2 linked regions of the Drosophila melanogaster genome follow. The protein of the gene in region 1 purifies or fractionates together with the protein of each later gene. This does not show direct contact. Each region holds a gene or a part of one and is shown on either strand. Other genes may lie near its edges.

The links.
Region 2: the proteins of RhoGAP92B (region 1) and Cip4 purify together in Drosophila melanogaster (affinity purification with western blotting; one study listed by BioGRID). This does not show direct contact.

Annotation. Positions count from the first base shown.
Region 1 is NT_033777.3:19,903,326-19,907,242, reverse strand, and holds the start of RhoGAP92B (Rho GTPase activating protein at 92B), read right to left. Parts: upstream 2,080-3,917; 5' UTR 1,933-2,079; coding exon 1,883-1,932; intron 1,795-1,882; exon of another isoform or gene 1,613-1,794; coding exon 1,356-1,612; intron 1-1,355. Other genes in the region: Surf6 (surfeit 6), read left to right, coding at 2,455-2,620, 2,675-3,483. UniProt on the Drosophila melanogaster protein: GTPase activator for the Rho-type GTPases by converting them to an inactive GDP-bound state.
Region 2 is NT_037436.4:4,362,276-4,366,192, forward strand, and holds the start of Cip4 (Cdc42-interacting protein 4), read right to left. Parts: upstream 1,700-3,917; 5' UTR 1,588-1,699; coding exon 1,473-1,587; intron 853-1,472; coding exon 752-852; intron 1-751. Other genes in the region: mRpS6 (mitochondrial ribosomal protein S6), read left to right, coding at 2,426-2,470, 2,537-2,935; CG33514 (uncharacterized protein), read left to right, coding at 3,221-3,525, 3,585-3,917.

The sequences.
Region 1 (3,917 bases):
GCCAAACATTTGAATAGAAAAGTCTGACAATGCTCTAGGCTTTATAGCCCTTTCAAAAATAATGTTTGCATCGTTTGGCGATCGATTTCCGCAGCTTGACCCAATTATGATTTCCCGAGCATTCGAATGGAGCTTCCACTTAACCCACGGACACACGTTCACTGTGGCTGCGATAGTTGCATGTGTAAGCGTTCGTGTCTAATCAGGAACGTGGGGAACTAAAAAAAAAAAGGGGGGGGGGGCTCTCCAGATCCCTGGCCGTTACACAACCACCGAGATGCTCTTGAATCGCTGCAACTGCGGCAGAACTGGCAATTGCAATTGACGCACACGCATCTGCGAATATGTGGAATGCAGAGTGCCTGAAAGGGGGAAACAGCGAATGGAAATAATACAGGCAAATAAAAATAACACTCGGAATGAGTAATGCGACCTAGGGGGAGCGCCCACCAAATAATAATAAATGAACAGCGAAGAAGAGATCATGACGATACGATGATGTATGAATTTGGCCCAGACTTTTACTTTTACTAGCCACAGCTAGCCAAGCAGCTAGCATAATTATCGCCGTTTACCGGGCTTTGTTATGCCACTTCGCGCGCGATGTGTAACAAATTTAAATGAAATGCATAGTGAATCGGGCAGTGAATTGTATGGAAGCAGGGCAATAAAAACGGGCGCCAATGGGGGCGGGCTAACTTGGCTGGCAAAACAAAAAGGTGTATAAATAGACAATGCCGAAACCGCAAATAATAACCAATACCAATACTGCGGGCGAACGGGCTGCGAAAGAAAGCGGCGAAAAAGTCATAATAAAAATTATAATAATGATTAAAAAACGCCGTCGATGTGGATGTCGATGTTGATGTTGCCGTTTGCAGTTGAGAAATGTAAATGCCACAAGGCCAAGCGACAAGGCGAGGCCGCCAATACACACAGACAAACCGAAGCCCGTGACACAGTCATCCACTGTAGTGTGTTCTCCAAGCCCCCTGCGAACCCGTACTCGTGTTCGTGTGCCATTGTGCATGTCTGGCGGCGATTATCGGATTTGGAGCGAACGACAACCACTGTGCGCCTTATCAGCAGCGACAACATGACACCCACCAGGGCCGTAGGCATGGCTGATTGCCGCTGCAAGGAGGGGCTCTCAGCTGGGAACTATTTTCAGATTGTAAGAAACATCATATGGATGTTTAAGCTAACATGCTAACAAACTATGATAAGCTAGGTACCTAAAGCAATATCAATATAATCACTTGATGAAGAACAAATTCTGTAACTTCCCCCTCTGGCGAATGACCGCCTACGCAACTGCCTGCCTCACTGGAAATCCCGGTTGCCCGATTACTAACCGCAATTGGCGAGGACCTTCTGCAGCGGCATGTCCTTGGGCAGCTCCTTGGCGGACTCGTCCAGAGCCTGGGCAATCTTGTAGTGACTGTTCTTCTTGGTCCGCTTGTCCTGCTCCTCGCTGCTCCCGCTTCCACTTCCGCCTCCGCCGCTCAGCGCCGGCAGCTTGCGGACGATCTTCTCGATGGTGTCCCGGTATCTGTCCACCTGCCGCTCGATCGCCTCCAGCTCCGAGTCCTTGCTGTCCGACTTGCTCGATCTGCGAATGCGAAAAGGACCATTTTGACACGGGTTTAGCACGGGTTAGGTCATCATCGGCAGTCCACTATTGTTACGGCTGTCATCGCGCTTTGTTATTGATGCAGTTGCTCTGTGGCTGCTTCTCTGCTGCTTTTGTTGTTGTTGCTGCTGCTGCTGTTGCTTCTTTCGTGATGAGGCAACACACACCTGTCTGTCCACCTGGAGCGCACTTACACAAACACACACCCACAGACATCCGACCGACAGACTGGCTGGCCTTTGAACTTACCTTGACAGATTTTCGGCTGCTATTTTGATTTTGGCAAACTGCCTCTTCATCTTGGCTGATTCGCTGGTGCCGCTCGCGTCTCCAACTTGAACTGAACTGCTGTGTGTTTGTTTGCGATGTGCAATTAGCTGGGCATTGAGTAAATACTTAAAACAGGCAAATTAGTCATTCTTCAACGATGTTTTACGGAAAAGTGAGGCGGGTGTGACCGCAGCGGGAGCGCTGGGAAATGACAAAAGGCTGGAGAGCGCCTTTTTCGAAAGTTCGTATTTGGTAACACTGTTTGATAAATGCCTGTTGAGATTTCTCAGAGCTTAGGCTAGAATTATGAATTTAAGCAATGGTTAATTAATGTTTATTAAATTTCAATCTCCTTTAATCTGAAACCATTGCTTAAATTCGCTGAATAGGGGAATACCCCTTACTACTTGTAGCGGTACCAGACATTTGCGCTAGGGTAACCACTGTCGAAAACACCCGAATTCTGTGGGGTCACACTGAACTCGACCGCCTTGCTTAGCTGCACGTGTGCGTGCGTAAATAATAGTTTTATTGTTATTTTACTCTCGAAAATGACCCAGGCGGAGATCGTGAAATGTCTGCGGGAGGAGTATGAAATCGAACACAACAAGGATCAGAAGCCGGAGAAGGAGGACCTGCCCGCCATCACCAAAAAGTTCTATCAGCGAGTCTTGGAACTGCTGACCATTCACAAAGTGCCCTACTCCAAACAAGAAGGTGAAACCATTAATGAAAAGCCTTAAATCTTTAACTTTATCGTATTTCCTACAGATGAGGAGACCTACGAAGAGTACCTGCTGTCGGACACGGAGGAATCGGGAAACAAGAAAAAGAAACAACAGGGAAAACTGAAAAACCAAGACTCCGACGACGAGGATGTAGAGGCACGCATTGCCTCCATCAAGAACAAGCTGCGCCAGAAAAAGGGACCCACAACGGAGCGACAGCAGAAGCGACGCGAATCTAAAAAGCTTAAACGCAGCAAGGGCGTCCAGAAACTGCTCCTCTCCTCGGCCAAAAACCTCAAAAACGAGAACGTCAAGCACCAGAAACTGAAGAATGGCGTGGTGAAATCAGAACAGGAGACGGAGGACAGCAAGGAACAGATCCAGCCGGTCAAGGTGCAACCGGTTTACAACCAGGAGGCCAAGATCGTCTACTCCAAGGTGGACTTTGCCGCCAATCCTGGAGGCAAAGCCAAGAAGTCTCACCAAAACCCCAAGGAGATTCTGAAGAAGCTGCGCGACACCAAGAAGCACCTAACCGAACTGCGCGAACAGGGCGAAACGGACAAGGCGGCGGAGATCCAGACGGACATCGCCTGGCGCAACGCATTCGACAAGGTCGAGGGCAAGAAGGTCAAGGACGACACCAAGCTGCTGCAAAAGGCCATCAAGAAGCGGCGCGTGGAGAAGAAGAAGTCCAAGACCAAGTGGACTGAACGCAAGCAGAAGGTGGAGCACGACAAGGAAAAGAGGCAAAAGAAGCGACAGGAGAACCTGGAGAAGCGCAGCAAGGACAAGAAGAACCGGAAACTAAAGACGGCCAGCAAGAGGGGTCGCATCATACCCGGCTATTAACTATGCTTACTATAGCCCTTAAGTGTAAAGTAGTGTAAATGTATGCCACGTTGAAATTCAACTCAGAATGCTTTAGAAAAAAAGTGATCTTTCTGAAATTTACGTTTTTATACTTTCGTGTTAGAAATTTACTTTTCCGGCCTCGACACAGTCAAAATTCCAGTAGACAGCTAAATTCCCAGTTCCAAGCCACACTATTTGGCTCCTCGTTTTTGTCCACTTTGTGTCACTTTGTGTTCCACTGTGCGTTGCGCGGCTTCACCAAAGATTGGCAAGAAGAAGAACGGCGAACAGCTGAGACCGATAACAACAATCGATTGATATCGTAATCGTTTAGTTGGATTGCTGCGATTTTTCCAGATTTTCCGAGTACTTACAAGAGACAAAAAGTGGATCAGATAATGCTGGAGACCCTAGAAATTTGTGGATCTTTT
Region 2 (3,917 bases), on another chromosome or scaffold:
AATTATTTAGTTTTAAAAGGTGGGCAATCGAAATTATTTATTTTTAAATGGTGGGAAAACGTTTTTTATTGAAAAGTTTTATTTTGAAGAGGTGGGCTAACGAAATTAGTTGTATTTCAAGTGTGGGCAATCGAAAAAAAATTTTTGTTAAAGGTTTTTTAAAGGGTGGGCAAACGATAAAAACTAATAATAATGGTTGGGCAAACGTTTTTTGTTGATAATATTTGGTTTTAAGAGATGGGCAAACGATTTACTCTCTGATTAGACCGAGGTAAACTTAAAAGCCTTATATTTTCTAAAGTATAAATTTTTTCAAAATTCTAAAGGGTGGGCAAACGTGGGCAAACGATGTTATTGCGATTTAAAAAAAAAAAATTTGAAAAAAGCGAAATTTTTGATTTTCGAAAATTTTCGAACTTTTTCGAAAATTCATATCTCAAAAACTGGACGTGGGCAAAAAAAACTAATTGGTGGGCAAACATGGGCAAAAAATGGGCAAACGATTCCAGCTTTCAAATTTCAAAAATTCGATTTTTCCGACCCCAGCTTCTTTGAGCTGGTAATGGACACCTTAATGATTCTGATCAAGCTAAACTACGAATTTGTTTTGATTTTTAGCTATAGGTATACATTCATACTCCTCAAACAAGCAGAACTATGTATTTGTTGCTTATAGGAACCCCCTGTTTTATCAATGAAATACGACTTCTTATCTGAAGATATAGCCCCTCTAAATCCAGGAAAAACTCACCCATAGCTCGGTGCCCCAACTCATGTTGTTGGAGTTTTGCGCTGAGTTTTCCGATTCGGCCAGTTTGTTGTTGCTGCTGCTTCTGCTCGATCCGCTTGCCACTGTATTTGTTGTTGCCGTCGTTGTTGTTGTTGTTTTAATAATAATAATCCACAGAAGATAATGTAATCCACAGACGATGAGGAGAGAGGGAGAAAGGTAGAAAGCGAGGGAGAAGAGCAAAAGATGAGAACTTTTATTCGTTTTTGTTTTATATTTTCCCGCAAAGGTTAATTAATTTTATGGCTGCTTTTTCGTTTTCATTTTCCGTTTGTTTTTCTATATTTTTTTCAGCGTTGCGCGGCGCGATGTTTAATTTTCTATGAAAGAGAGCAATTCGAGTCAGATATATTTCATTTTTGTTTTTTTTTTTTTCGGTGGTTGGGCAGGTAAGAAAGCATGTAAAAACAAAAAAGAGTGGCAATGCAGACGTGTCAGTTGCAGCGGCAGGTAGAAAAATGAAGTTGAAGGAAATTATAGATAATGAGAATTTAAACACTTTTTTTGGGAGTTGTTTAGTGATAAGTGCAAAATAAGAAAATTCTATGCACTGGCATTTCGATGCGCAAAGAGAGTGAGGAGAGAGAGGGAGCGATAGAGATAGAGAGCGATGCAACTGCATTTCATAATTGAGAAAAGCAGAAAGAGAGGACAATTGGAATTCTACTATTGTTGTATTTACATAATTTCGCACACACACGCACACAAGTAAACGCAATTGCCGAATGCACGCACTCTGCTTCTAGATCTGCCACCGTTTTTTTTTTTGTTATTTGTGCTAACTTTTTTTTTAGCATTTGCTTTGCAGTTGCAACTTCTTTCGATTTTGGGTTTTATTTAGCGCCTGCACTTTCGCATGCGTCATAATTCGGGCGACATTTGCACACACACACAAGCACACAGTTAAAACACCCGCACTCACACAACGCAAGCATTTGTTTCTCCTTTTTGGCGTGCGAAAAAACAATTTTATCCGCTCGCAACTTTCCGCTCGTTTTTTCACTTCGGCATCAATACACAGTGTGACCGCAATGTGTTTGAATAGGCACACCTCTGCGTTTGCAGTGTGACCAGAGACCGATGGCGACCTAATTTCTAACTCTTTAACATCTAGCGGGGATATGAACCCATATTGAGAGCAACTGTAAAGTTTAATTATTATTATATAAAATATATGAAACTTTCGTTAATACGTGCCCCCATTTTTTTTTATAATTTAACGTTAATTGTAGACTTTTTAAATATATTATTGTGGCCTTGAAAACTAATAATTTTATGGAATAACATAACGTTGAAACAGATGAAGAAAGCTATTATTGAGCTTGGAAGAAACTTCTTATTATTGTTTATTGCTTTTAAAGTAACAAGAGCATCGCTTATTGTTGTATATAATATATTAATTTGAACATTAAATTCACTGGAGCAATAGATTTTGGCACACTGTAAGGTGTAAGCATGTGCGCCAGGCGCTAGATCATTTTTAGTACTTTCCTTGCATCAGCTGTTAACACTATCAGCTGGTGGGTCAACAATTACATTAGATTTACTAACTTTTTAATGAATTAAAACTTGAGAGAAACAACGTTAATATAAGAAATTAAATTCCTTACCAGCTCATACAATTCACCGGTCACAATGCCTTCTTACGAACTAGCACTGGTGCTCCGCCAATTGCCTCGCGTGAGTAGCACATGAAATCCACCGGCAGTTACATAAAAGTAAATAAGAATTGTACACCGCCCGCAGCCCGAACTGATTTCCGTGATTAGGCGAACGGCCGAGTCCATCCTGGACAAGGGCGGCATTATCCGGAAGCTGGAGAACCTGGGATCCCGCGCCCTGCCCCACAAAGTCAGCGAACACGGGGTGGTTCACCGGGAAGGCACCCACTTCACCATCGCCTTTGATACGGCGCCCACTAAGATCGCAGACTTGAAGGAGGAGTTTGGCCGCGACATCGACATCATACGGCGCTACATCTTCAAGGTGGAGGAGCCCGAGCAGAAGCCCTGCACGCTGCACGAGGAGATGCTGCCACCCGCGTATCGCAAGGATGTGCAGGAGATCATTGCGGCCGCCCAGAAGAAGCAAAAGAAGAAGTTCAACTACAACTCCGGCCTGGACTACTATCCCTTCCAAAAATAAAACACCAAATAAAACGCGTTAATTATGTATGCTAAAACCGGTTGTGGGTTCCTCGATCTTTGGCTAATTCAAACTGAAGCATTCCTTATGAAATGCGCCTGTTATCTTAGTACTTTTCACAATGTTTGTCTTTGTTTGGTTTATGGCGCCCAATCGGACGCTTATCAATTAATTGATAAAGCTCCGTATAATCGACCATCAATAGAACGTAAATTGTCCAGGTAGTGCCTCAAGAATCGTCGAGCAGTTCACTAGTACTTCCTCCTGACCGCAAACGACCTAGAAATGTCACCGCAAATCCGTCCACTTACGCCAGAGCTGCAAAAAGTTGCCAAGGAGCAGCTCAAGGAGGATCCCGAACGTCTCGAAGCCGATCTGCAGGCGTTTAAGACATGGATCGAGCAGCAGCCGCATCTAAATCCCCGAATGGATGATCAGTTTCTGGTGGCTTTCTTGCGCGGCTGCAAGTACAGTTTGGAGCGGGCCAAGTCCAAGTTAGATAAGTACTACACGCTGAAGACCAAGTATCCGGACTATTTCCGAGTTACCAACACCACGGATAGCAAGTTCCGGGAGATTCATCAAACGGGGTAAGGATTTTGACGCCAGCTAACTAATTTAATTTATCAATGCAATTCTGTCAATTCAGTGCCATCATCTACCTGCCCACTCCGCTGAATGAAAATGGACCTCGCATCGGGATCTGGCGCATGGGATTGGTGCCAGTGGAGAAGTACACAATGCTGGAGTGCATGCAAGTGGCCCAGGCAATGCAGGAGATTGCCATTTTGGAGGACGACTACGCCAATGTCAATGGAGTAGTTTTCATTATGGACATGAAGGGTGCCACCGCCGCACACTTGTTCCAGATGACGCCGTCGATGGCCAAGAAATTCACTGTCTTCTCGGAGGAGGCACTTCCACTGCGTCTGAAGGCACAGCATTTCATCAACACCATCACCGGATTCGAGCAGCTGTTCAA